Rhinolophus ferrumequinum: one gene and its partners. The protein of the gene in region 2 interacts with the protein of the main gene of each other region in a pairwise test. Links are inferred from orthologs where the notes say so. Each region holds a gene or a part of one and is shown on either strand. Other genes may lie near its edges.

The links.
Region 1: the proteins of STK16 (region 2) and keratin-associated protein 13-1-like interact in a two-hybrid assay, tested with the Homo sapiens proteins (2 studies listed by BioGRID). The two-hybrid records come from large-scale screens. The link is inferred for Rhinolophus ferrumequinum from reciprocal best matches to the Homo sapiens genes STK16 and KRTAP13-1.
Region 3: the proteins of STK16 (region 2) and KCTD14 interact in binary tests that used the Homo sapiens proteins (3 or more experiments, as listed by UniProt). The link is inferred for Rhinolophus ferrumequinum from reciprocal best matches to the Homo sapiens genes STK16 and KCTD14.
Region 4: the proteins of STK16 (region 2) and PLSCR3 interact in binary tests that used the Homo sapiens proteins (3 or more experiments, as listed by UniProt). The two-hybrid records come from large-scale screens. The link is inferred for Rhinolophus ferrumequinum from reciprocal best matches to the Homo sapiens genes STK16 and PLSCR3.

The regions. Positions count from the first base shown.
Region 1 is NC_046285.1:96,957,013-96,963,265, reverse strand, and holds keratin-associated protein 13-1-like, read right to left. Parts: upstream 1,417-6,253; 5' UTR 1,322-1,416; coding exon 806-1,321; downstream 1-805. UniProt on the Homo sapiens protein: In the hair cortex, hair keratin intermediate filaments are embedded in an interfilamentous matrix, consisting of hair keratin-associated proteins (KRTAP), which are essential for the formation of a rigid and resistant hair shaft through their extensive disulfide bond cross-linking with abundant cysteine residues of hair keratins.
Region 2 is NC_046291.1:16,219,076-16,227,122, reverse strand, and holds STK16 (serine/threonine-protein kinase 16), read left to right. Parts: upstream 1-4,718; 5' UTR 4,719-4,771; coding exon 4,772-4,857; intron 4,858-5,421; coding exon 5,422-5,641; intron 5,642-5,900; coding exon 5,901-6,034; intron 6,035-6,204; coding exon 6,205-6,325; intron 6,326-6,451; coding exon 6,452-6,547; intron 6,548-6,952; coding exon 6,953-7,074; intron 7,075-7,189; coding exon 7,190-7,328; 3' UTR 7,329-7,632; downstream 7,633-8,047. Other genes in the region: GLB1L (beta-galactosidase-1-like protein), read right to left, coding at 1,623-1,683, 1,865-2,015, 2,269-2,435, 2,615-2,683. UniProt on the Homo sapiens protein: Membrane-associated protein kinase that phosphorylates on serine and threonine residues. In vitro substrates include DRG1, ENO1 and EIF4EBP1. Also autophosphorylates. May be involved in secretory vesicle trafficking or intracellular signaling.
Region 3 is NC_046294.1:52,179,791-52,187,294, forward strand, and holds the start of KCTD14 (BTB/POZ domain-containing protein KCTD14), read right to left. Parts: upstream 3,023-7,504; 5' UTR 2,830-3,022; coding exon 2,767-2,829; intron 1-2,766.
Region 4 is NC_046304.1:11,473,041-11,480,478, forward strand, and holds the start of PLSCR3 (phospholipid scramblase 3), read left to right. Parts: upstream 1-4,346; 5' UTR 4,347-4,448; coding exon 4,449-4,730; intron 4,731-4,998; coding exon of another isoform or gene 4,999-5,234; intron 5,235-5,328; coding exon 5,329-5,371; intron 5,372-5,474; coding exon 5,475-5,695; intron 5,696-5,952; coding exon 5,953-6,114; intron 6,115-7,438. UniProt on the Homo sapiens protein: Catalyzes calcium-induced ATP-independent rapid bidirectional and non-specific movement of the phospholipids (lipid scrambling or lipid flip-flop) between the inner and outer membrane of the mitochondria.

The DNA of each region.
Region 1 (6,253 bases), on a different chromosome or scaffold from region 2:
CCTCACACACGTTTATAGATGAGGCTCAGAAGTACCTCACCCATGGAGGCAGAGACTGTGGCATTTACGTCAACCATCCCAGAGCAAAGCATCTGTCCTTGAAGTTGCATAAGCCTCATCTTGTCTCTTAACTGCAAGATCTTTACTCAGATACTAGACTTTTAGGTAAGTTTTCTGTCTATGTAAAACCTCACGTTAGGTGTTACATCATATTCTTGTTGTCTGCATTTCTAGTTGACGTACCAATTTCTTTGATTTCCTTTATCAGCAGAAATGCATCTCTCATTTTCAGGCAAATGTCACTGACAGTGAGAGGTGTGAAATATGGACCTCCTAGAAATGACTACTTCTAATGGGGAACATATACAATGTTGACAGAAATTTGCTCAAATCTATCAAATTGCATTGTGCCCAAATCCAGTTTCGAAGTCATATCAATCTTTACTTAAATCTTCCAAATCCTTGAATACAAAAGTTACAGGCAAAAAAGAGAGAAAACGGTAATAATAAGAAGAATGAACAATATTTTGGGTGCCAGATTACATAAATTTATTTGATGACAATTTTCATTTTCAATTGCTCTTCAGTGGAAATCCAATAACATATATTTTATCAATAGTACAGGTAGTAGGGCTTAACTTTGAGTTACCAATCAATTTCAGAGTCTGTCAAAAGTTGGTGATGCAAGATACTGATGATTTAAGAATAAAAGAATAGTGGTAACTGGTGACAATGAAAATGATCGCTGTACTGAGTAGAGACTTTGACCTCAAAACCAATAGAATCTGGGCCCTTTACAACTTGATCAGTAGAAACTGGATCCACAGGTTGGTCTATAACACGATGACTGGCAGCTCCTGGAGGCAAAGTAGGTTGGGCGGTAGAATCCAGACCCATAGCTCGGGGAAGGGAAGCCACAGACTCCATAACCCAGGGGTCTGAAGCCACTGGAACCACAGCTCAGGGAGTAGCGGCTCCTGGATCCATAGCCCAGGGAGCAGCTGCTGCTGGACCCACAGCCCAGAGACCCTGTGTAAGTTGGTGGGCAGGGAATGCAGAGCGTGGAGGTCCTTGGGCGGTAGCAGGACGTCTGGCAGGGTCTGGACACCGCACAGGACGTCTGGCAGCTGCTGGGCCCACAGTATGTCTCCTGACAGCCACTGTAGAGAGAAGAGCCCAGCTGGCATGTGCTGGGGGAGCAGCGGTCAGTGCTGTAGACTAGGTTGCTGGGGTAGGAAGAGCCACAGGAGGAGCCTGGGTAACGCAGGTAGCCTCCAAGGGAGCGGGAGGAGAAGTTCCCAGAGCAGCAGTTGTAGGACATGTTGATGGAGATGTGAATTCAGCTGAGTTACAGGAGACGATTCTGAGTTTGAATGTCACTTCTGGGCTATGGCATTTATATACCCTCAACAATGGGTGTGGTCCACTATGAGATCACGGTTTCTATATTGGATTTGCTCTTTTGCATAAGACTAACTCAGTAATTGTCTCTGTAATTGCGGTTACATTTGAATAGTTTTCCACATATTGTATTTATGGGTGCTATAATTTTGTTTTTACAGCCAAAGCCAATGAACTGCTCCTCTGTCAAAAATGCTATGACTGTTTTATACTAATGCATATCCCATCACGACCAGGAAAGCATCAGGGCCAAGAAAGCTTTTCCTCTGGCTTATGCTACCTCCATGTGCTTCCTATGTAGCCACATCTAGTTTTGCTGGAGGATGCTTTCCTCCTAAGAGTGGGGAATGAGGTAACATCAATTATGTTCTGGTGCAATGAATCCATTTCCATCAGAATGGGAGTCTTCCTGAAAATGATCCATCTTGTCACCATTGATTCCCATTCTCCTAAATGACTTGGTGTAATTTGTCATGGCAGCAATAGAAAACTAATACACCAAGTACTGCAGCTACACAGTGTGCCCCTCACCCAATGAAAAGAGACCAAAACTAGATAAAACAGACAGATGGCGAGAAACTGAAAGACACTTTGTCATGTATTTAAAGATGAGGTGACAAAAAAGAGCTCCACTGCAACAGCCCCAGGGAAGATCAGTCTGGGCCTCTTCCCAGACAGCCAAGAGGGACACACTAGCTTGATGAGGGGAGGAAACAACTGAAAGGGGAACACCGAGAAGGCTCAGCAATTGCAGATTTTTTTACTGCACTCCTAAATTGTGGTCCATTTTATCCCAATACTTTTATAACTAAAACTTTACAAAATTAGTATATTTTATGCATTTTGATATGTTTTCCTTTTCATCATCTACATATATAACTATCCAAGGCTTCTATCACCTTATAATGTATCTAGCTTTCCACTGCACAGGCTTTGAGTGACTTTCTGGCTCCTGCAGAGAGCCAGGTACCGCTCTGCATTTTCTTGCCTAAATCTGAAGTTCCTTTTCTAGTTCTCTTTTCTTCTGCTGTATACAGACATATCTTTCTCTCCCTCTTTCCCTCTCTCCCTCTCTCCTCTCCACCTCTCTCTCTCCTTACCCACCAATTTTCTTTTCTGTTTTTTCTGGGTTTAAGTTTATTTTGTTTTGTTTTTCTTGTTTGCATTGCTATTTATTTTTTGCTTCTGCTTAACTATAGTTTCAGTTTTAAAAACGTTTGTTAGATTTACCATATTCTTAGAGCACAACCAAATGCTTTCTAAGTTCATTCACAAAATATTCAATGTTTATGCAACCAGTTAAATTATATTCTGGACTGAATGAAACGTACTCTCATGGCTGATGGAAAGAGTTTCTTACAAAGCTGTAACAAACTTACAAAAATGATGTTAAATGTATAAAATTTTCTCAATAAAATCTATAGCAATTTTAAAAGTCACTTAATGTAGACCTTCTAGAAGGAACAGAGGAAAGAAGTAAATGCACCCAATTCAAATAGGTAGTGATGAGTCCTTTATTTTCTATTCTTCAAGACCAGAATTCATTTCTCCTTGCTTTGTGCCTCAGCAAGTAGATAAACTGTCCTATTAATATAACACTGTAGATGCTATTCCTTCCCCATTGTTTTTTTCTGTTTTAAAACACAACTCTTTAAGATTATCTTGATATTGGTCAAAGGGTACAAGATTTCAGAATAAATAAATTCTAGAGATCTAATGTACAGGATGGTAACTACAGTCAAAAATACTATTAATACTATTTTGTATCCTTGAAATTTGCTAAAAGAGACTATCTTAAATGTTTTTACCACACACACACACACACACACACACACACACACACACACAAATGTAATCATGGGAAATGATTGATATGCTGTTTAGTCTCATTTTGGTAATCTTTTCACAATGTATACCTATATCAAAACATAACATTGTATAGCTTAAATATCTACAACTTTTATTTGTCATTTATCCTTCAATAACACTGGAAAAAAATGAAATAATATTGATGATAAACCTTAAGACTTAAACAGGGGACACAGATTTATTAGACAAAACTGGGGAATGTAGTGAATTTGTCTTCAATTACTTGTCTCCTTGTTTAAGGATCCTTTTCTGTAAGATCCAATCTTCTCTTCCCTTTGCCTCTAAATCTAAAAACTTTGTCTACACTAAGTTAGTATGAATTTAAGAAGAATTTGTACTCCCCAACCTGGGACTGAATTAAACTCAAAGATTATATTTTTTTTGTTGTATATAACATAGACCTCCACCATTGGGTCTTCTCCTTCTTCTTCTTCCTCTTCCTCTTCCTCTTCCTCTTCTCCTCCTCCTCCTCCTCCTCCTCCTCCTCCTCCTCTTCCTCCTCCTCCTCCTTCTTCTTCTTCTTCTTCTTCTTCTTTTTTGACTGAGTTACTTACCAACAATTAAAAATTGAGATATTTGACTTAAAACTTATCACTCTGGTTTGTACATCCAGTGGCTTCTGATTTTTAGAGTGCAGAGTGCCATCACCAGACTATAAACAAAATAGTTTTGATATTTGAGGTGTGTTTCCAACAGAAACTCATCTATAGTTGCAAGTTACAACTTTTGGCACCTACCTACTAATTACCAATTACCAATCAATTTGTCACTCACATGTTGGGCATCTTGCTTTTACTAGTCATCTAGGGTGCAGCTTAATAAACAAAAGCCAGTATTTCTTATATAAAATTTTTTTCAATCACTATATAGTATTATTAGCCAAAACACATTTTTTATTACTATACGATATAGATTAGAAGGCTTTGAATTCTGTATTCTTAAAAATACATTTGCTGGACAAAGTTATCATGGCTGCTTTTCCTAAATGTGCTGCACGCAATCCTAAGGCACATTTCTCTCTGTAATATGGTCTTGGTATTTTTCCCTAGGGATCTTTTAATTAAAATTGTATAAGGTGGAGAAACACTGAAGATTTCTCAATGAACATATTAATGAGGCACCTGATATGTATTTTTCTATAAAATGTCCAGAAACAATGGCTGAGAACACGAATTCAAATGCAAGTTGTTTACTTGACCGGTGAGCCTAATAAATCTCTGTTGGGAAGTGGGACAATGTGACGGAATGAAAGGTTGGCAACACAGGGTACATCACTAAGCTAGGTACCATGTAGAAACTGGAGCTCAGTTCTCACAGAGAATTCCCTGCACAGGAGCTCTTGTGAAGTGAAAGGTCCTTTGGCAGAGTTTTACAGATGTCCCAGAAGTGTACAGACGAATACCCAAGGGACATAGGCAGGGTGTTGACAGCTTCTACTGGGGATGGGTGTCACTTAGAAAAGCAAAGATACCATAAATATGGAAAGGAATACCATGAGATCTAGAAAGATAAAATAAACTGAGAAAAGCAGAAAGGTACGAAAGCTCCTGGTGATTTCAGGCCATACTGAAACACAGTATAACACCAGTACATGTGGTATGGAAATGGGAGACAGAATTAGAAAACCTGGACACCCACGATGGCAGCTTTGGAGTTTTCTGAATTGTGGTGTCATCTACCACCATTGAAACAACAGGAGCAGACTTGTAAACGGTCAAATGATCATCTTCGCTGCAGCCACTCACTTATTTGAATCACTCCTATGTATTATAAAAATAAATAAATCTCTCAAAGTTACAGAAATTTAGCAAGTTAACATTGCTTAAAATGTTACACCAGTCCTCTCAAGGAGACTAGAAAAGCTAGAGAAAATTAAAAAAATAAGAATCTCTCTTTGAAAACTTCAAAGAAATACGCAAGCATTCTAGAGTCATAGAGAGTCTATGCCCTATAGGGAGTCTGGCCCTATAGGGGCCAGAACTGAAGTCAAAAGAAATGAGCCTAGATCTGGACTTGCTGGTCTCTTCAAGTTATGTTGATTTTGAAAGTAGAGACTAAGAGGCTGAGGGAATTTTTATAAACTCACAGAGCTAGAGAAACAAAGTTAGAATTTGGGGCCCACCAAAGAGTTGGGACGGTGGAAAATAACCCAGACATTGGAGAGCCAATTTCTAGATGTAAACTTGAATTATTAATAGACAACCTCTTATAAGGGCTGATGCTTCGGTTTGAATTATCTTAATTTTATTATTATTATTATTAGTTTCAGGTGTATAAAACAATGTAATAGTTAGACATTTATACCCCTCACAAAGTGTTAATCCCCCTCCTCCAGTCTACTGCCCCTCTGACATCACACACAGCCCTTACATTTCCACTGTCTCTATTCTTTATGAATTATCTCAGTTTTTGATTGAGTTAAAATGACCAAGGCTGCTGGTGTCCTTATTCTAGCAGCCTGCCAGAATCTTAAGTAAACCCTCTCTAGATGAAGGTGAAATCATCCAGATACATACATATTAATCAATCAATCAATATTTATTACTCAAATATTTATTACTCTCTCAAAATATAGTAGGAATACAAGAAAATAAGACAAACACAAGAGAACACCAGAAAATAGAATCTGAAATACACAATCCATGCAACGGACATGTCAAAATCACACATTAAAATACTTATGTTAAGAATTTAACGATAGGAAATAGGAAGAAATATCAAGAAATAGTAATGTTTAAAGAATTAAGGGCAAGATTGAGAATTTTTGCAGAAAACCAAAAACCATAGAAGAGAAATGAACTGAAATTTTAGAAATTTACAATATAATAACTGATTTAGAAACCTTAATGTGTTTTGTTTTTTTTTTAATTGGGGAAGGGGAACAGGACTTTATTGGGGAACAGTGTGTACTTCCAGGCCTTTTTTTCCAAGTCAAGTTGTTGTCCTTTCAATCTTAGTTGTAGAGGGTGCCGATCAGCTTCAA
Region 2 (8,047 bases):
GCATACATTAAATCTCATTCCACAAATATTTATGACTGCTGACTATCCACCAAGCACTGTTTTAGGTGTTAGTGACGGAGGACAAGACAAAACAGACAAAAATCTCTGCCAGTGTGGAATTTCCTTTCCAGCGAGGGAGGCAGATAATAAATGGGTAAAATACATAGTGAGTGAATGCCAAGGAGAAAAAATAAAGCAGAGAAGGAAGATATAAAGTGGTAGGGTGGGGGCGCTTCCATTTTAGAGGGTGGCCCAGGGAAGACCTCACTGAGAAGGTGGTTTTGCAAGAAGCTAGAGGGAGCACCACACGCCTGCTGGCTTTGGAGAACAGCAATGAGAAGAGTAGATGTCACGGGGGTGGCTGGGCCAATTACTGTAGGACCAAGACCATTGTAAGGAATCCATGGTTCATATTCTCATGAGATGAGAACCTATTGGAGAGGTTTAAGCAGAGAAATGACATGATCTAATAGATATTTAAATATATTTAAACAGGATCACACTGGCTGCTGGATTGAGAATAGACTGCATGGGGGAGGGACAAAGAAGGGAAACCAGTTAGGAAGCTACTAAAATAATCCAGCTGAGAGGTGGTTTGGACGAGGGTGGTGGCAGTGGAGGTGATGAAAAGTAGGTGAATACAATATATTTAGAGGGTAAAGCAGGACCTAATAGATAATTTAAGGAACAGTTCATATTCTGAATGAGATGGAACCACCATCTTGACTGGCCAAAACCTTCATTCCTTTCTTTCCAGACCTACTCCCATTTCCCCCACCCCTACCCTTTCCATTGAAATTTATCAACAAGTCCTGGTGATTTTATCTCAGTTCTGCCCTCTTCTTTCCATTGACAACACCATCAGCTTAGTCTAGGAGCCATCATCTCTCTCCTCAACTACAGGCATAGTCTCCCAATTGGTTTCTCCACTTCCACCCTTACTCCCCTCAATCCATTCTCCACATCCAGGCTAAACTAATCTGAAAACAAATCAGATCATCTCACATAGATCTCTGGTTAAACTCTCTTAATGACTCTACCATGCTAAGAGTAAAATGCAACCCCCTTACAATGGCCTACAAGGTCTTGCAGCAATAGTCCCTATTTCCAACTTCACATCACACTACTCTCTCCCTTACCCACTATGCTCCAGCCATGCTGGTCTCAACCATGCTATGTTCTTTCCCATTTTTTGGCCTCAGAATATACCACCCCTCTACCTGGTCATTCTTACCTCACTCTTCATATCACCAGAGTTTTCCCTTCCCGAGAGTCAACTGAATATTATATTTTCAGAAAAGCCTTTCCTGACCTCCCTACTTAAAAGAGGCCCTCTCTGTTATTATGTCAACTCCTTGTCCATTTTCTTGTGTGGTATTTTTATAGCTTGCAATAATATTGCAGGTTTCTTTAAAAAGTCTGTTTCTTCCACTATATGATAAGCTCCATTGCACAGGATCTGGGTCTGTCTGATCCTCAGTTTCTAGAATCCTGCTGGGCAGGAAGGAAACACTGAATAAATATTTGACTGATTTGGGAGTGGTCTCTTCTGTTTTGGGTATCCAAATGACCCATTTTGTCATTGTTTGCTTTTTCTGTGTTAAATTTTTGTCCCAACTCACCTGGATCTGAGGTTCTCAGATGAATATTAGGTTTACGAAGCAACCAGGCTGGGAGACCCCCCTAAGACAAACACAAAGACCACAAAGAAGCATGTAGGTTTTGTTGTCTGGGGGTGGAATGGGGGCAGGAAGAAGGGAGGAAGTTGAGTACAGTGCTGAAAGTGACCCTAGAGTGTGGGCAGAAGGGAGGAGCCTAGGAACTCTGGGTGGCTTTAGGTCTATCCCTTCTCCAACTAACTCACCATATCCCATTCTGCACAGATGTAAGGTCCTGGTCTCAGTATGACCAACAGGTTCGCTATAGTTGCCTCATTCAGAAATGCAATGAGATCCCGGCTGCCATTAAAGTTATAGACCCCAGGCTCTGGCTCATGGTAGTTCCAGGGTACATAACTGAGAAAGGAAAAGGTTAACAGGGCCCAAGGCGGGCATCGGGGGAGATGCCCAGGAGGCTTAAGAGCTCAGGTCTTGCAGGGTTATCTCCAGGAAGGAGGTCCTGGCCCACCTTTTCCCTCCCTGGCCTGGAAGCCCTGGAGCTCTAAGCCCTCATGATACCCCGCCAGTCTTCTTGTCCCAACATCCTTCTTAAGGGGGTGGCAAAAAGAGTAAATCCCGCCCCTCCATGGCTCTCTTGAGCACTTCTTACAGCTGAATGGCGTTGAGGCCACTCATTCGCATCTTGAAAAGCCGGTCTGCCCAAAGCACCCGTGGTACCCGGAAGTAGTGCAGGCTGCCAGATACATAGCGGAACGGAACCCCATCCAGGAGGAATCTGTCATGATCCCGATCCACTACGAACGACCGAGTATCTGCCTGCAAAGGGAGAGACCGTGCTCTACAGAGGTCTGGAGTTGGAGGGCTGCGGTCAGCGGCTGCCAAGAGCAGAGGAGTTGGAACTAGCCCTGCCCACTGTTTTGTTGTTTTCACTTTCTCTCTTACGCCAGATCTAGCCTCGCCGCACCCAGCCGGCTGGTTCAATCCTCTTATCTTACCTGGGGCAGCAGCAGCGTCAGGAGCGGCAGCAGCAGGGAGGGAAGGCAGAGCGGCTTCTTGGGAACCATGGCGCTTACAGGTCTCCTATAGTCAGAGATGGCAGTCCAACTGTCACGTGGCGGATTCCTGGGAGGGAATCTCAGCAAGCAAGGAGGGGCAGAGACCACTCCAAGTTGCCAAGCGATTAGCCTGGACTTTGTCTCCTGCTACTCTACTAATTTGTAAAATCCTCTACATCTTTTTTTTTTTTTTTAATCCCCTACATCTTGAACCAGCTCCATCAGCGTCTCCTGGGAGCTTGTTAGAAATGCTGAATCTCAGGTCCTACCTCAGACCTATAGAATCAGAATTTGTATTTCAACAAGATTCCCAGGTGATCCTGAGCATGTTCAAGATTGAGAAGCAGTGCTCTGCTAGACTGAGCTTCCAAAGGGCTGAGAGTGCCTTGTCTACCAAATCCTCAGCTTCTAGCAGTGGGCGGCACACAGCTGGTTACATCTAGATGAATGTCAGAACCAGGACTCTAAAACAGGTTCAGAACCAAGGGAAACTTCGGAAGATCTTCCCACTGATGTGAAGGGGGTGGGGGCAGGTTATAAAAGGGATCTTTTTCCTGGAGAGCCCTATTTCAACAGAAAAAAGACCGTCAAGGGCATTCCATCTTCTTTGGATGTGCACCCCTTTCCAATTTTTCCCTGCCTCCCTGGGCAATTGAATAAAGAAAAAGGGAACTTCTTGACTGAAGATCAAATCCTTCAGCTGCTGCTGGGCACAGCGGCTTCGTGCCAAGGCTTGGGAATTTGTGAATTTCCATTACTCCTGTCTTCACAGTCCCAAGCCTGGGATGTGAGAACCAGGGTAATAATAATAATTTGTATTAATATAATTAGTATTGTTTATTGACACTTACTAAGGGCTACGCGTCAGATATTGTGCAAGGCACGTTACATATCATTTAATCTTCAAAAAACTCCATTAGGTAGATAATTACAATTTGCATTTTGCAGATGAGGAAATTGAGGGACAGAAATGTTAAGTAGCTTGTCCAAGGTTACACAACTAGTTTAGGGGAGCTGGGATTTGAACTAGTCGGTCTGGCCTCACAGTTCATGTACTTAATCTTAGGTACTAGTATATGTATTTTGCAGTTAGGGAAAGTGAGACTCCGACAGATTAAATAACATGTCCGAGGTCACACAGCTAGTAGGCTATTAAGGCCGGGTTTAGACCCTAGTCTGCATCAAGAACCTGAACTCTTAACCACTGAGACTAGGGATACAGGCCAGAGTCCCCAAGGTTGTACTGATCAGAGCTCCCCGTGTCCAGGCTGCCAGCACCCGCCCCTCCCTGCGTCCTCCCGCCCACCCCGGGCTGGACTGTAATCGGCCACCCAGCGCTCCGGAGGTATGAGGCCTCCTACCTCCGGCATTGGGAAATGGAGGTCCTGGGGGCCTCGGGCCGAGCCCGGCTTTGCTCCCCCTTGGCGTAGGTGCCTGCGTCCTGAAGGCCAGGTATGGAACCTCCACCCGGGTCCTAGGACCGGTCCTCCCGCAGGTCTAGCCCGCCCCACCCCCGTCAGTTCCTCGCCCCCACATCGTCCGGAAGCCAGGCGGTTGCTAAGATACCTCGGGCCGTTAAGACGGCGCGGAATGATGATGAAACCACTGCTTCCGGTCCTTGGCGCTTCTCTCCGCCTGAGCCAGGTCAGTGGGGGAGCCGAGCTGGCCTACTTGCGCTCTACGCGCGGAGGCCCGGGGTGGGCTCTGCAAGGGACGGGCCCGAGCCTCGCACCCCCTCGCAACTGCCCTATGCCCTGCCTTCGCGGCCCCGCGGGCGTGGGCGCCCGAGCCGCGTGAAGGTGGAGCAAGCGGTCTGGTAGTCGCTGCGTGGCCTGAGGCTTTTAAGGCCCCTGATCCCAGCCTTCTTGGAGCTGGTATCGCCAGGGCCCGTTTTCTCTAGGTTCCGAGACCTGGGCCTGAGCTCCCCACATTGGTACTTCCGTGGTCGTCTGGATTGTGCCCGACCCGCGACCCTGCTGTTCTTTTCCTTCCAGTATGATCCGCTGGGCCCCCAGCGCATCGCCTGGAAGAGCCCACTCAACCTGGAGAACCCTTCGGCAGCCTCAGTCGGTCCTTGAGGAGGATGACTGAGACACTATGGGCCACGCGCTGTGTGTCTGCTCTCGGGGAACTGTCATCATTGACAATAAACGCTACCTCTTCATCCAGAAACTGGGGGAGGGGTGAGTGTTTGGCAATAACTAGTCCCCAGGGTTGTGGTGATTGAGGACAGCAGTCTGACTTGATAGGGGCACAAAGATTTTATCCTTAACCTATCTTTTAGCATGCCTAGTGACATGCTAGTCAAGAAAATAGGTTCGGAAGCCAAGCCTCCTAGATCCACCTTGTATGACCTTGATAAGACATGGTTTCTTCGTCTGCTTAATGGAGATAATTACTGTCTTGCCTCACTGATGGAGCTGTGAGGATTAAATGAGAAAATACATATAAAATGTCTCGCCAGTGCCTGGTTCACAGCACTTGATAAATGTTGACTATTATTCATTTAATGTTTGTTAAGCATTTGCCATGTGCAGAGCAGTGGATTATGATCATAGAACCTCAAAGATTATGTCCCACCTCTTGAGCTTAACGTGTAATGATCTTCAGACTTCTCTCAGAGCTACATCTTGGGAGGGTTTCTAGTAAATGGGAAAGACACCCCCGTCTTCTCCCCAGGGAATTCCTCTGGGTCCAAGCAGTGTGGGAGATGACCGTGGTCCTTCACTGACCCCTTTGGCCCACAGTGGGTTCAGCTATGTGGACCTAGTGGAGGGGTTACATGATGGACACTTCTACGCCCTGAAGCGAATCCTGTGTCACGAGCAGCAGGACCGGGAGGAAGCCCAACGTGAAGCAGACAGGCATCGCCTCTTCCATCACCCCAACGTCCTTCGCCTCGTGGCTTACTGTCTGAGGGAGCGGGGCACTAAACATGAGGCCTGGCTGCTGCTACCTTTCTTCAAGGTCAGAAAGTCTCCTGGCTACGGAGGGGTTTGCAACAGAGTCACCTACCAAGAGCTGTGTGAGCAGTCAAGTGTGTTAGGAAGCGGAGGCCATGTCCTGGGTTTGACCACTTCGGATTTGGGCTTTAAAGGAATCCAGGTGGGACTGTGGGGTATGAGCTGTGTGTAGTGGAAATGTTGATAGGCTTTTGGCATGAAGGGATCACACTCAGGGAACAGAGGCTCAGAAAACACCAGCTGTGGGGATACTTGTGTTGCAGAGAGGTACGCTGTGGAATGAGATCGAAAGACTGAAAGACAAAGGCAACTTCTTGACTGAAGATCAAATTCTTCAGCTGCTGCTGGGTATCTGCAGAGGACTTGAAGCCATTCATGCCCAGGGCTATGCCCACAGGTCAGTGGGGGGCAGGGGCCTGTGTACTTTCTGGGGCGGAAAGGAAGAGCCCCACCAAGAAAATGAGGTCTGCTCTCCTCCCAAGGAACAGCCTCCATGATTCTTTCGCCCCCTGGGATTCCAGCCGCCCTGTCTGGGGATGTTCATGGGTCATTCCCACTTGCCACCAGGGACCTGAAGCCCACCAATATCTTGCTTGGAGATGAGGGGCAGCCGGTTTTAATGGACTTGGGTTCCATGAATCAAGCATGCATCCATGTGGAGAGTTCCCGCCAGGCTCTGGCCCTGCAGGTAAGAGAGTCTCTAGGTTCCTTTGCCCACCTGTTCCCCAACCCTGACCCCTCTGGTGCGTGCTCCACTCTGGTCACATGACCACGAGCTATGCCCCACTTTTGAGCTCTGGGGCCACTGTTCCAGGACTGGGCAGCCCAGCGGTGCACCATCTCCTACCGGGCCCCGGAGCTCTTCTCTGTGCAGAGCCACTGTGTCATCGATGAGCGGACTGATGTCTGGGTGAGGAGCATGTGGGTGGGGAGGAATGCTGCTCTGTACCTCCTGTGGAGTAGAGGAGCAGGTCTTTGGTTTCTAGTGCACGGGGCCCCAGGAACCATGTGTGTCCCCATCCCCCTCGACTTCCTTCCTGGGAACTGTCACTGACACTGTACTCAATTGCTCAGGAAGTGGTATAACCCTGCCCTTTGAACAGGGTTGGGACAGCTAAGTCAGGGCTGAAGGCGGTGGCTAAGTAAGCGGTGTAGAGGCCTCCCGCTAACTGGCACTTTCTCTGGGCCCTGCTGGTGTCATGTGGCTGTTGGCATACTCCTTTTAGCTCATGTAGACTCATTTCACTACAGAATTAAGAGAAGAGATATCACCTCCACTGGTCCCCTTCCATGGAATAACTTAAGTTCTGCTCAGTCCCTAGGTTGTGTGCTATATGCCATGATGTTTGGGGAAGGCCCTTATGACATGGTGTTCCAGAAGGGTGACAGTGTAGCCCTTGCTGTACAGAACCAACTCAGCATCCCAGAAAGTCCCAGGTGAGCAATAGAAGGGGCACAAAGCATTTCAGATTCTCCTTGATATTAGCAGGGGTGGCGCCTCGGCATGGGGGGTGGGTGCACCCCCCATCACCCTGCCCTCCTCTCTCCACAGGCATTCTTCAGCATTGCGGCAGCTGCTGGCCTCCATGATGACTGTGGACCCCCACCAGCGCCCTCACATTCCTCTTCTCCTCAGTCAGTTGGAGGCACTGCAAGCCCCAGCTCCAGGCCAGCATACTACCCAAATCTGAACAAGCCAGTAGCCACATTGAGAAGGTGGCCCCTGTGCCTTGGAAAGAGGGCCCCATCCCTCACTGGAATCTGTCTTTTCTATCCAGGCCTGCTCTCTTGCAGTTGGGGGCAGGGGGGCTGGAGAGGGTTAGCTCAGTCTTCTGTCTGATGGGATGGGTGAGGGTGGGGGGATGGGGAAAGGGAAACTGATGGAATCTGGTAAAGGCTCTGAGCAGGACTGCTGAGCTTACATCATGGTCTGCCTCCAAATCTGGGAGCAGGAGAATGTATAAATAGAATAAAGTGAAAACACCTTGGTGTGGATCTTAGTCTCGTTGTTCTTGAAATGAGAGAAAAGGCGCAAGGGGCCCAAAGCCTGGTTGCCTTTTCCAAGGAAACAACCCGGGAAGAAGAGGGACTGGCATCGAGTCAGGAATGGTGTGACTTCATTCCACATCCAAAGGCAGGAATCCTTACCTTCGACATGGCTGGTCGGCAGTGGGCAGTTCTTCTGGCTTGTCTTAGTCAAACACTTAAAGCTGCTCTGGCTTGAGTGGGCTTCTATGCCAAGAACGGGCACCAGGGTCCCCTAGTCACATTACATTAAACTTGTTCTTTCTTCCCTTCATCCTCTGCGGTGGGTAGCTTAGAGCAGCCCAGCCGGTTTGCCAGGCAAGGGTGGAGACACCTGAGGAAGCTTTGGGACAGCTACTTAACTGGTCTCCCAGCCTCAGCCTGA
Region 3 (7,504 bases), on a different chromosome or scaffold from region 2:
ACCAAAGACAGCCAAACTCCTGGGGAGAACTGAGTTGCCATGGCAACAGCTCCTACCAGGGGACAGTTCTGCAGGCTGGAGGGGAGAAGGGAAAGGAGAGGATGCTCTCTGACAGCAGCCATACAATACACCACGAGAAAAATAAGCCCAGAATCTGTGACTCCCTCTTTCTCCCATAAACCTCAAGTGCCCTTGGGAAGGCGCTTCGGGTAACACTAAGGTCCCTCTGTACAGCTGAGAGTTAAATGCAAATTTGCAGATGTTGACCCTTGAATGAATCCATGTGCTCTCATCACTCATGTACTGCTGTAAGCTCAGAGGTGCTCTCAATGCCCCCACATTACAAGCGAGGGAAGGTCAGGAAAAAGGGTCACACACAGCTAGTAAGTGCTGAAGTCTGAGCTGGGACCAAACCCATGTCGGTCTGACTCCAGTACAGCATGAGTGCCCTATCCCCACCACTCCGGCATCCAGTCCCACTGTTGCCAATAATTAGCTATGTGCCTAGGACAGCTCACTTCCTTCTCTGGGCCTAAGCTTAGTCATCTATAAAATAGGGAGGCAAAATAGATGAAGAGAACTCTAAGTCCCTCCAGCTCTGAAAGTCTAACGAATCCAGTCACTTCAATGCTGTTTCTGAAGCTCGTTGCCAGATGCTTCACAAAATAGCTTCCTGCCCTAACATTCTCAGCCCCATTTCCTTGTTTATCAAATAAGACCTCTGTTCTGTTTCCAAGCTTCTTCATTCTGTCTCTCTTTCCATCCTTTTTCCCCAAAACTCCCAATCTCTTTGGAAATCCCAGATTTCCTACCTCATCCATAAGTACTACAGCATGTGTTTCTAGCAAATAAAGAGTTCTTTTCCACCCCTCGTCCAGATCACCTGCTCTTTCTTCCTTGTGGCATCTCTTCCTCACCTTTTCTACCAGTCACGCTGCTGAAGCATTCCTTGGTGGGAAAGCCCGTCTCAGGCCCTGTATACATGGGCTGGGGACACATGGTCTTTAGGAGCCCCTGCTGGGTGCCAGGCCAGTGCTGGCCATGAGGACACAGGGATGAATCAGACATGCTCAGCTCTCACCCAGTTCTAGTCTAAAGGATCCCTATACATCTGCAAACCCCCTGCCAAACATTCATACATTTCCTTAGGTCACCCTTAGTGAAGTCAACGGAGGGACATCTCCATTCCTATGTCCCTCAAGATCTCCTCCTACCCCACAACCCTGACCTTTTCCATTGTTTCCTATCTCAGTTTTCTGAGCCAGAATCCCAGGCTGGGCTATGATCTTACATTCTGCTTCCATGCTGAACACCCCCCAGACACACACACAAAATCAGTCACCAAGTCCTAAATGCCTGATTCCTGTAGTTCCATGACACCTTGCTCCCCCCAAGTACCCTCCTCCAATCCAATCTATACTCTGAAACCAGAGTAGTTTTTCTGAAGTGCAAATCTGATGATCTGTCACCCCCTGCATTAAACACTTCAATGACCCTGTATTCCCTTCCAGATAAACTCTAGACTCCTTAACAAGATTTACAGGCCCTTTGCAACCCTGGCAATCAACTACCGGAATAGGTTGCTGCTCCCCCACCCCCACCCATCCACAGCAGGCTGGGGCCACTTGCAGCCCAGGCTTGCTTCACTTAGCCCACTCATCCTTCTACCTAATTCCTCCAGGAATCTTTCTAGATGGGTTGTCTCTTTGTGATCCCAGAGGGCCTTGTACTTCCACTGTCACGGTAGTTACCTATCTTGTAATTCCCTTTACATCTGGATCCCCCTTTAGGCTGTGCGGTGCCTAAGGAAGGACTATCCCTGATTCATCTTTATGTCACCAGTACCTACTGCAGGGCCCAGCAGTAGGTACTGGTGATGCTCAGTAAATGTCTATTGAATTGAATGGAGCTTACTTGGCAGCACCGATTTACAGAAGCACCTGGTATTCTGACAAAGGTCAATCTTGCCCTACCTGGCGTCATGCACCCTGCTGGTTCCCTCTCTTGCTGGGTAATTCATTCGGACATTTATTGAGCACCTAGGCAGCCCTGCCACTGAACAGGTGACTTTGACAATAGTCAAAACAATGACGTTATCATCGCCCTATGGGAAAGAACCACGGTCTCCCCACTGCTGGATCTGCTTTCCCTTTCTACAAGTCTTCCCGATGGCACCTAGCCCAAGACAGATCAGAATGCTGTACTCCTAGAGCACACTGGGCCTTTTCCTGATCCTCCCCCAAACTTCCCTCACCCAAGCCCTGGGAGGGGGCAAGCCAGCAGGCTGACTCAGGACCCAGCCAGAGGGCTGGGCAGGCTGGAGAGGGTGGGGGTTTGAGGGGTGAGGGAAGGATACACTGGCAGCCTTTGGTTGGGTCTGCGTCTACCCCGGGCAGGAGGGATGGGAGCAGGGAAGGGAGAGAGACAGCGGAAGAGAGGTCACCTAGGACAAACCAGGGAACAGAGAAGACACACACAGAGCAGCTAAAACAAAGACCAAGAAAAGAAGGAGAGAAACTAAGGCAGCCGACCAAGAAAGAGGGCAAAGACGAGAGGCTGGACAGAGCCTGAATGGGAACTGAGACCGTGGCGCGGAAGGAACAGCCGGGAGGGAAAAAAGAAGGCGGGAGGGAGAAGGCGCACCAGAAGCGGGAGCGGGGACGGGGGCGACTGACGGGGATTCAGACCCGAAGGGAGGGACGGACAGAGTGAAAGAAGGGAGAGGCGGCAGGACAGGCTCCCGCCGGATCCGGGCTGTGCACTCACCGTCGGCGGGCCCGCGGGGGCCGCCTGCTGCAGAGGGACAGGCCTCGAGGGCAGGTTCATCATCCTGGCCTTGCAGGCAGCTGGCACTGCGCAGCCCAGCCGCCGCTCCGCACCCCGCCTTCTGCACCCCGCCCGGCCCGCGGGATACTTGCGGGTGGCGGAAGTACACCTGCTCCCCGCCCTGGGGTGGGGGAAGCTGGTCTCAGGGTGTGGGTAGAACCTAGGAGTGGCGTGGGCTGCGCCTGGCGCCTGGCTTCGGGGGAGACCCTAGTCTAGCCTCTTCCTCATTCTCACCCGGGTGACCCCGACAGCCAGATGGGGGAGGCAGAAGGAACTGACATTGAAAGCAGGAGACTCTATTCACCACAGTCCTAGGGAGTGAAGATCACCAACATCTGTTTTACAGATGAGAAAAGTGGGGCTCCAGAAGTTGGGGTGGCCAGTGTGGGCTATTTACCCACCTCAGATCAGCTGCTAAACGTGCAGTGTGACCCTTGATGAAAAGAACTAAGATATCTCTTGTGTGGTTATTTTGCTTGTTAAAACTGTGAAAATTACTAAAGGAAACCTCAACTAAAATTGAAGTCGGAAGGGCCTGTACTGGGAGTTCTCAGGCTTTACTACTCATTTATTTATTATTTTTAAAGATTTTATTGGGGAAGGGGAACAGGACTTTATTGGGGAATAGAGTGTACTTCCAGGACTTTTTTCCAAGTCAAGTTGTTGTCCTTTCAGTCTTAGTTGTGGAGGGCGCAGACTCAGCTCCAGGTCCAGTTGCCATTTTCTAATTGCAGGGGGCGGAGCCCACCATCCCTTGCAGGACTGGAGTTGAACCAGCAACCTTGTGGTTGAGAGCCCACTGGCCCATGTGGGAATCGAACCGGCAGCCTTCAGAGTTAGGAGCATGGAGCTCCAACCGCCTGAGCCACAGGCCGGCCCAGGCTTTACTACCCATGATCATTTACCTCCAAACAGGGAGAAAGGATACCTTGGATTTCCAACAGGAAGATTTTCTACTTTATTACCATAGTGGGTGAAAGGAAGATTTTTCTCCTTGCATGGCAACACCTCAGCCAGTGAAAAGCCACTATACTTACAACTCCCAGTTTCCTCCAATAGACTCTCTTTTTGGAACATCCCCTCCCAATTCTCCCTTTGCTCTGCAAGGGAAAGGTCTTCTCCTTTGTTTTTTCAACGTGCCTATGGTTTTGCCATAACTTGCCTGTCCTACATTGCCGTTCTTTGCTGATCCCAAATAAACCCATTTTTTTTTTTTTTGCTGATAAAATAACTGACTTTTAAAAAAAATCTATATCAACAACATATAACCCTAAAAGAGGGGAAGCATAACTCCCTACTCTTAAAGTATGGGCTGTGCATAATGACTTTCTTCCAAAGAGGACAGTATGAAAAGGCAGCAAAAGAAGAATAACTTTACAATGGAGGAAGCTGACAAACACTACTTCAGCCAGATGTCAAAGTCAATATCAAGTCATAAATCATGACTGGTAGTATTTAATTTTTTAAAAAATAAATTTTATTGGGGAATATTGGGAAACAGTGTGTTTCTCCAGAGCCCATCAGCTCCAAGTAGTTTTCCTTCAATCTAGTTGTGGAGGGTGCAGCTCAGCTCCAAGTCCAGTGGCCACTTTCAATCTTTAGTTGCAGGGGGCACAGCTCACCAGCCCACGTAGGAATTGAACCGGCAACCCTGTTGTTCAGAGCTCGTGCTCCAACCAACTGAACAATCCGGACGCCTGGCACTTTACTTCTTTGATCTTTCTTCTAAAAACCCGTAACACCAGTCTAATCACGAGAAAAACATCAAACATATTCCAATAGAAGGACATCCTACAATATACCTGACCAGTAATTCTCAAAACTGTGAAGGTCATCATCAACAAGGAAAATCTGAGAAACTGTCATAGCCAAGAGAAGCCTAAGGAGACATGCTAACAACTAAACATAATGTAAGTTGGTATCCTGGAAAAGAAAATAGACATTAGATAAAAACTAAGAAAATGTGAATAAGCTGTTGACTTCAGTTAATAATGATTCATTAATTGTAACAAATATACCGTACTAATGTGATAGCTTAATAGGGGAAACTGAGGGTAGGATATACAGGAATTCTCTGTACTATCTTCTCAATTTCTCTGTAATCTAAAACAGTTCCTAAGAAAAGCCTAAAAATTTTGACTCAGTAACAATACAATTGCTGTGGAAAACAGTATGGAGTTTCCTCAAAAAATTAAAAATAGAACTATCATATAATCCAGCAATTCCACTTCTGGGTATATAACCAAAAGAATGAAAGGCAGGATCTCAAAGACATATTGGCATACCCATTTTCATAGCAGCATTATTCACAATAGCCAAGAGATGGAAGAAACCCAAATGTCCATCAGTGTATGAATGGATAAACAAAATGTGGTGTATATGTATAATGGAATGTTATTCAGCCTTAAAAAGTTGGGAATCCTGTTCCATGCTACAGCATGAATGAACCTTGAAGACATTATGTTAAAATAAGCCAGTAACAAAAAGACATACTGTATGATTCCACTTATATGAGATATCTAAAGTAATCAAATGAATAGAAGGTAGAATGGTGGTTATCAGGGGCTGGGGGGAGGGAAGAAAGGGAAATTTTTAAATGGGTATAGAGTTTCAGTTTTGTAAGATGAAAAAGTTCTGGAGATCTGTTACATAGCAATGTGAATACATTTAACACTACTGAACTGTACACTTAAGAATGGTTAAGATAAAAAAAAAGAATGGTTAAGATGTAAATTTAATGTTATGTATTTTTTACCACAAAAAAAGAAAGAAAAAATGACTTTTGGTTATAAACTAATAAACTAATGGTGAAAAAACTTGGAAAAAATAATAACAATAATAACCAACCAGTATCTGGTGAAGAAAGATAAAGCTTTGGAGAGAGATAACTGGGAATGGGACCTGGGAACCTGCCATTTACCAGCTATGTGACCATCCGTTACTTCCCCTCTCTGAGCTCTAGTTGCATCTTTTGAAAAATACATGGGAGTACTGAGTTTGCTGGGTTGTTGTGAGAATTAAATTAAGTGAAATAATCTATCACGTTTCCCAAACTTCCCTGATGCTAAGACTCCACGTGCTTGTTAGACACCATTCTGGAACCCCACCTCCAGAGTACTGAAACCAAATTACCAAGGAAGGGCCTGGAAACCTGTATATTTAACAAGTATCTTGTCATCTTGGAAATTTGGGAGACACTAGAATGATGCATTTACAAGGCTTTCTTAGAGTGGGGCTCCGTGAATATCAGTGCCCATTCCTTCAGACTCTATGGCATCACCCATCCAGAATCACCCCATTCAGCCAAAGGTACCTTTCCAATCTCTTCTTCCCCCTCCTCCCCACATGGGTTGTCACTTCATTTATTCAATCAAGAGTTACTGACAATCGCCCTTGGCTAGGGGTTGGGTGCTGGGGACACAGGTACCTGAGACACGTCTCTGTCCTAAAGATATGGGCACAATTAACTTTAATGAAAAGTAAATGAATGTATGAAAATATGTTAGGCTTTTGTTTCCAACAATATGGAAGGTGAGATATCCTCTTGCTACGAAACATCTCAAAACATTGAATGTGTGTATCTCTATGTATGAGCTGACGGGGAAGTCAAGGAAATGCTATGAGGTGCTCTGCATTATTGAGCACTGACTCTACCCACTTCCCTGGGGTTACCTCCACCGCTGAGTGTCCTAGAACTTTTATTTTAAGGGGAGAGAGTAGGAGACAAAGTCTGGACCATTCTGGACAGGATAGGATGTCAGATCAGAGACTATAAAAGGATAATTTTTTTTTTTTTAATGCATCAAACAAAGGTGAATGCTGTGGAAGCTTACCTGTCTCGTTCCTTGGTTCTGGGTGGAGGAAAGTCTCCCCTGAAAATGTTTGGCTATATACTAGAAATCAAATAGATCTGGAGGCCAAATATTCACTTTTTTCATCAACAACAGCAACAACAATCAGAAATTTAATTTAAAATGGACCAGAGTTGGTAGTGCCCCCAGATGACTGACAAAGAAAATGAAAACCCTTCCTGGAGGGAGTGCACAATCAAACCAAGCCTCAAAGAGTCCACACAGATAACAGTCCAATAAATGCAAGCTCATAGTCTAAAGTCACAAACCACAAAAAGAAACACAGTACCATGAGCAAGAGTCAATGGATCTATAAGCACCTCAGAGATTACTGGATATAGAATAGAATAGTATATAAGTGTTTAATGTGCTTAAATACAAGGGTGTATTTAAAACATGAGTGAAGAAGATATGATCAAAAATGAGGAGGCAGATTTGAAAAAAAGCCAAATAGAACTTCTAGAAAAGAAAAATTACTTAAACTTAGTAGGGTTGAGGACATGCAATCAAAGGAGAAATATTGCACTATTTTTCATCCATTATTTTGGCAAATAGTGAGAATAATAACAATATGCTAGGGGTGGTAAGGATGCAGGTAAACAGCTCCTCAAACTTAGCTGAGTGGAATGTGAACCTCTGTGATTTTTCTGAGAAAGTAATATGGAAGTATTTAGCAAAATAAAAAAATGCAAATTACCATTTGACCCAATATTTCCACTTTTGAGAATTTATCCAATAGAAATAAAAGCACTATTCTGAAAGTATACATGAGCAAATATGTTTATCACTGTTTTGTTTGTGGTGGCAACAATTAGAAACATCGAGGT
Region 4 (7,438 bases), on a different chromosome or scaffold from region 2:
TATTACTGCACATTGCATCCAGTCTTCTCAACAGTCCTGCAAGTTAGTGGAACGTGAAGCAAAGAGAGGTGCAGTAACTTGTTCTATATCATACAGCGAGGACCTGAATAAGCTGTGATTCAAACTCTCTTCTGTCCAATTCCCAGAGCTAAGTTCTTTCCTACTTGTACATACCAAGAAACTCAGATTTCATCAGGGAACATACGAGGTCAGACAATTAAGTTCACGAACTCATCCTAGAAAAAGTGCTACATACCTCACTGCTGAATATCACTAGGACACCTTCGAAGTACTGCCCTTGGGAAGCTATGCACTGACACCAGCGCCTACTCCACCCTTCAAAGCAATTTTGGAACTCTTTTTCTGGAATGGCCATCAGAGCTATCGCCGTATTACCCTTGATGTACTAAATGTCATCAAAATGTCTTCCTTTCAATATTTCCTTTATCTTCAGGTAAAGAAAGAAGTCATTGAGGGCCAGAATAGAAGAGTAGGGAGGGTGTTCCAATATAGTTATTGGTTTACTGGCTAAAAACTCCCTCACAGACATGCCATGTGAACTGGCGCATTGTCGTGATGCGAGAGCCATGAATTGTTGGCGAAAAGTTCAGCTCGTCTGTTTCATGCAGACTTTTCAGCACCTCCAAATAGTAAACTTGGTTAACTGTCCAGCTGGTACAAATTCATAAGGAATAATCCCTCTGATATCAAAAAAGGTTAGCAACATCATTGTAACAAATTCTCAAACTTCATTATCATACCACTTAGACCCTTTAAAACAATTTGATACAATGTGTTCAGTGTTACAAGTAGATACTAAGGTAGGCTTGTTTTGCCATTGGGGACTGGTAAAACTTCTATCCACCTGCTGGGTTTTCAGCATACATAGTTCACCAAGAAAAAAGGGAAAAGATCATACTAGTAACAAATCAAGAGGGAGGACAGGAGTGTCCGGAGCTCAGAATGGAGTGGGCAGCAGGAAAAGACCAAATAGAGTCAGGTTGGAGCCTGTACTGTGAAGAGTCTCCTGGGCCAAGCCTGAGTCAACTTTAACTTCTCTTTTCCTCACATCCTATACCGAAGCCATCATCAAGTCCTGTTGGCTCAAATACATAACTGGAATCTGACCATTTCTCACCACCTCTGTTCCTACCATTCTGGCTCTTGGTCCAAGCCACCATCAAATCTTACCTAGCTTTTAGCAAGAACTTCCTTCTGCCTTTGCCTTAGTCTACTCTGGGTAAGGCAGAGAGAGAGACAGAGAGCCTTCTAACACAGTAGTCCTAGGCCTTAGCTGCACGTTACAATTGGCTGGGGAATTCTCAAGAAGTTCTTATGTCTGCACGTATTCTAAATTAGTTGCTATGAAGTGGGGCCCAGGCAGAGGTATTTTTTAAAGCACCCCAGCTGATTCTAACTTGTGGCAAAAGTTCAGGACCACTCTTTCAGTATGTAATTCTCGTGTCTCTTCTCTGTCCAAACCCTTCAACACTTCCCATATCACTCAGTATAATCCAATGGTCTACAAGGCCATATGTGATCTGGCCTGTGACATCTCTTACCTCCCCCTTGTTCATTCTATTCCAGCCACACTGGCCTCCTTTTTGTTCATTGAACAAGTAAGGCACACTTCTGCCTCAAGACCCTTGCCCTTGTTCCCTCTGCTTGAGACACTCTTCAGTTAGAAGTCTGCATGGCTCAATCCTTGACCTCCTTTAGGGCTTTGCTTAACTATCACCTTCTTAGTGATGTCTTCCTAGTCCACCCTCTTTAAAATTGCAACTCCTGCCCACCACTGTCTGTCCTTTTTATTCTTCATAGCACTTGACACCATCTAACTTCTGGTGTATTTTATTTGCATTATCTATCTCTTCTCCACTAGAATATAAACTCCAGGAGATCAGGAATTTTATTTAACTGGTATATATTCCTATCACCTTAAATACTGACATACAGTAGTGCTCACTAAATCTTTGTTGAATAACTGAATTTCTGTATATGTGTTTTGGTGGAGGCTGGTCCATGGTGCAGGCCATGTAGAATCTGAGGCACTTAGGGATACCAGGAGAGAGGTCAGGCACTTGGTCTGAGGCAGATGATGACTGAAGCTGTGGGAGCAGCTGACCAGCCCAGAGGAACATGGACATGGGGTAAAGGAGCCCCCCAAATTAGCTTCTACCCATGTTCATCTTGATGGGTTTCACCTCCATCTGCCTGGTCACCAAAGAGGCACCTGGGGTCATCCCAGACTCCTCACTGCCATGTAATTCCCCTGAAAACATTCTGTATTGTCTAAGTACCTCCAAAATATGCCACTTCTGTCTCTCTGCACTACCACAGCCATCCTCTCCCCCAGCCCACTGCCAACAACCCAGCCTGGGTGCCTCCACCATTGTTTTCCACATTGCAGTTTTAATTGTTTTTCTTTCTTTCTTTCTTTCTTTCTTTCTTTCTTTCTTTCTTTCTTTTTTTATTAGTTTCAGGTGTACAAAACAATGTAATAGAGACATTTTTTAAAAAACTTTTATTTACTTTAAGTGTGTTTTTCTAGGACCCACCAGCTCCAAGTCAAGTAGTTGTTTCAATCTAGTTGTGGAGGGTGCAGCTTATAGTGGTCCATGTGGGGATCAAACAGGCAACCTTGTTAAGAGCACCAACTGAGCTAACCGGCCGCCCTGTACTAGACATTTATACCCCTTATAAAGTGATAACCCCCTCCCCCAATCTACTTCCCTTCTGACATTGTATATAGCTTTACAGTTCCACTGAGTCTATTCCTTATGCTGTACTCCACATCCTGTGACTATATACATATATACATATATATTAAATTATAGTTGACATTCATTATTATTCAGCTTCAGCTTCAGGTGTACACTGCAGTGGTCAGGCACCTACACTGTCCATGAAGTGGTCTCCCTAAAAAGACAAGTGTCCATCGGATACCCTACAAAGTCTTTGCAACATTATTGATTATATTCCCCAAACTGTCTTTCGTGTCCCCAGGGCAATCTTGTGGTAACCAATTTGTGCTTTCTAATCCCCTCACCTTCTCCCTCATCCCCACCCCCCTCCCATCTAGCAACCCTGTTTTTTCTCTGTATCTCTGAGACTGTTTCTGATTAATGTGTACATTTATTCTGTTCTTTAGATTCCACATTTAAGTGAGATTATACGGTATTTGTCTTTCTCCGTCTGACTTATTTCACTTTACATAATGTTCTCTAGGTCCATCCATATCGTTGCACATAGTAAGATTTCATTCTTCTTTATGGCCGAGTAATACCCCATTGTGTAAATGTACCACAGTGTCTTAATCCAGTCATGTACCAATTGGCATTTCGGTTGTTTCCATGTCTTGGCTATTGTGAATAGCGCTGCAATAAACATAGGGGTGCATAAATTTTTTCGAATTAGAGTTTTGGATTTCTCTGGATAGATACCTAAGAGTGGAATTGCTGGGTCATAAGGTATTAATGGTTTTTCTAAAACACAAGTTTGACCTTCTCCCTTCCTCTTAAAATCTTTCAATGGGCTCCATGCTGCCCTTGGGGCCAAGTCCTAGCTCCTGTAGGCCTTCTGGGACCGTGAACTGGCCTCCCTTTCTAAAGTCGTTTCTTGCCACTCAGCTTATAGGCCGCCAAAGCACAGGAGGACTTCCTCACACCTGGGGCCTCTGCTCAGGACTCAGAAGAGAGTCCTTTTGGGGGAACGCTTTCCTGCTGACTGGGCTGCCTCCTCTGGTCCCCCTGTACCTAACCTCACGCACACTCACTAACGTCACTATTTGGCAGCCTGTCCAGGCTGGGCGCGCCTGAAGGAAGTACTACCTGTATGGGTCATTGTTGCGTCAAGAAGAGAGAGCGTCAAGAAGAGAGAGCGAGATAACCCAAGGGAGGTAGAGAGGGAGCCAGGCGCCTGTCCTACAAGCCCATGAGCGCGTGTGAAGGGTGTTCCGCCCTTGGGAGGAGGAGCCTGGGGTCCTGCGCCGCACTAGCTACCCTCGCTACCCACCAAGCGGCACTGAGTACCCTTCGCCTGCAGATCTGGGGGGTCGCAGAGCTAGATCTCAGCCAGCTGCCCTCCCGGGGCGAACTTCCTCTCAAGCTTTCTGCAGCCGAACGGAAGAGGCGGGGACGTCGACCACGCTAAGGAGCCGGCAGTGCAAGGTCTGTAGCCAAGCGGGAGAGCCAGCATCCTTTCTGCGCAGGCGCGCTGCCCAGGCCAGGAGGGGCGGGGCCTGGGCGGTAGAGGGGCGGGGCCGGATCCTGGGCCCGCCTCCACTAGCTCTTGTGAGCCTTCGAGAGTGCTGGGCACCCCAACTATTCTAAGGGCCTCAGGTGAGCGGGGGTCGCAGAGGGGTCAGGAGACCTCCGTCGAGGTCGGGCCGTCGGTCTGACCGCGGGCCCATCTGTCCTGCCGTCTGCCAACAGCCGCTTACGCGGAAAATGGGAGAACAAAGGGAGGGGGCGGTTCTGGGGCCCCTGAGGGAATCCAGGGTCCCAGGTACTTCGCCCCGCCCGCTGACACTTTCGGTTTCTCCCCGAGTCAGAGGCGCCGCCCAAGAGACCCTGGGCCGGCGCCGGGCGCAGCTGCCTCTCCGCGTTTGCCTGTCCGTCTTTGTGTCTGTCTCTGTGTCTGTCTGGCTGTCTCCGAGCTTGCCTCCACTTTTAGAACTAAGCTTCCCGGACACCGACATCCCGCGGACTCGCGCCCCTTTCCCATGGCAGGTAAGTGGGAGCAAGGCCGAGGGTCTCCGTTATCCCCCCCACGGACTTGGGAGCTGGGTGTCGAATGCATCCTCCGGGAATGTGCTCGGACTGGCTGGGTGGGGCCCCTCCCTTCCTCCCAGGCAGCCACCGCCCTGCTCCCCCGCCCCATCTTTCTCAATCTCTTCCCATCACATTTTCCCCGCAGCCTCGCGGTTGCCTGTGGGCTAAGAGGTAAAGGGATGAGGCCGTGAAACCCTTTCTAATCTACGTCCCTGTCCCTCCACAGGTTACTTGCCCCCCAAAGGCTACGCCCCTTCTCCCCCACCTCCCTACCCTGTGACCGCTGGGTACCCGGACCCTGCGCAGCATCCTGGGCCCGGGCAGGCGCCAGTGCCTGCCCACGTGCCTGCCCCTGCGCCCGGCTTCACTCTCTTCCCTTCACCCGGCCCCGCTGCCCCGGGCCCTGCTGCCCCTTTTTTGCCATTGCCTGGGGTGCCTTCTGGCCTGGAATTCCTGGTGCAGGTGAATGGGAAGGGGGAGGGAGGAGTGACGGGAAGGGGACAAGGGCTTGCAAGCCGGCCAGCTGAGGTGGGCGTGGCTCCTACTCTCTTTCCAGATTGATCAGATCTTGATTCACCAGAAGGCTGAGCGAGTGGAAAGTGAGTGGAAGGACCAATAGGTTGGGGCTCGTGAGGGGGGCAGATATAGTGGTCTCTTGGGCAGGTACTGGTACCTGAGCCTCAGCGTGTCACCCCTCGGCAGTGCTCCTAGGCTGGGAGACAAGTAACCGGTATGAACTGCGCTCTGGGGCTGGACAGCCCTTGGGTCAGGCAGCTGAGGAGAGCAACTGCTGTGCCCGTCTGTGCTGTGGCGCCCGCCGGCCACTGCGTGTCCGCCTGGTGGACCCCGGGGATCGAGAGGTGCTGCGCCTGCTCCGTCCCCTCCACTGTGGCTGCAGCTGCTGCCCCTGTGGCCTCCAGGAGGTGGGCGGGGAGGGATGGGTCAAAGTTCGGGTAAGGGGCAGGCTATAATGGGGAGGACCAATGATGGAGCAGAGCAGTCCCCGCATGAAGCGTGGGAGTGAACAGGTGGCACTGGAGGTCTAATGAGGGGGATGACGGGGGTCTAGTGAAAGGGATGGGAGGTCTTGTGAGGGGGGACAGATGATAGAACTGTAGCGGTGAGAGCTTGGGTCAGGGTGCCTTGGCTCAGCAGTGACCCTATCTGCTTCCCACTCCAGATGGAAGTACAAGCTCCACCCGGCACCACCATTGGCCATGTGCTACAGACCTGGCATCCTTTCCTCCCTAAGTTCTCCATCCAGGACGCTGATCGCCATACGGTCCTGCGAGTGGTGGGGCCCTGCTGGACCTGTGGCTGTGGCACAGACACCAACTTCGAGGTATCAGGAATAAGGAGCGATTCCTGGGACCTTTATAAACCAAAATGGCAGTTTCCATGAGGCAGGACGGCTAATACTAAGGTCAAAACCCAGAACTCATCAATCCAAATCCACTGTGACCCCTACCACATTTCCAGTGTTCGGGTCCTCCATTCAGAAATAGAATGGCTCCGTGGCCTTATAAAAGCATGACAAAGAGGGTTTCATTTTGAGGACCAATGCTAATTTTTACCTGCAAACTATGTTGAGGAGGTAAAAATCTAAGGCCAGGCTGGATTTAGGGTGAAGGATTATTTCATCTGCCATGGGCTGGATCTATGGCTGCTGTGCATGAGTTTGTGAGTTTAGGACTTGGAGCAAGCACGAATTTGACTTGTTAATATCCTGTGGCTTGCCCTGCCAACCTAGAAGTCCAAATGGCCCCTCCAACCTGGAATCCAGGTGATATCTTTTTCACCATGCATTCCTGTCACCAAACTGGAGCCTGGAGAACCCAAGTGGTGACAATTTCAAGGTGAGGCCTGGGAAACACCTTTGTTTCTAGAAGACAGTCACTTTGAATTCTTTTAAGGGATAATTACCAGTGCAGATAAGGGAGAAATAATGGGTATAATCCAGACTTGCCAAGATATCTGATGAGGTCTCCTACCTAAGGTTACTTTTAAAAATTGAGCCACCTTAGTAGCTGGGGGGAGGTTCTGTGATGGGAACTGGTTGAGAGAGATAACTTGGTGACTTCTGGATGGGAAGGTGTAGACTTTGGGGTTTTCATGGGGCTAGTCTCCCTTTTACATAATTATGAATTGTCCATATTTGGGGCTGTACTTTTGGGACTGGGAGAGCTGACTGGGAGAGGCCCTGCCCAACTTCAGACTGGTTTTTAGGAAATGCCCCAGAACTGTAGGACAGTGGGGGAAGGGGATGGGAAGGGCAGAGAAGGAAATCATGTTAGTTTAGCCACTAGAGAATTAGCATAGAAAAAGAACCAGGGAATCACTGTGAATTACCACCTAGATTGGCAGGGCCTGTTGCTGCTGGGCCCAGAGACGCCAGTGGAAATCGTGGTCCTCAGAGGCTACTTACTGCTGCCCTCTCCCCCCAGTAAAGGCTCCCCTCTAGCTGAGGCTTCCATGCAGTGCTAGACAGGGCCCTCCCTACTTTGCAGAGGAGGGGTACCCCTTTGGGCAATCTTCTAGGAGCCTGGTTGGCTGGTGGAGTACAGCCAGGATTTTAGCAGCCTCCTTTGCCCTCTTGGCCAAGCTACTTTGTGCAGGGCACAAGCTACACCAAATGTGGGTGACAAGGACTTTGGTAACCAAAACAA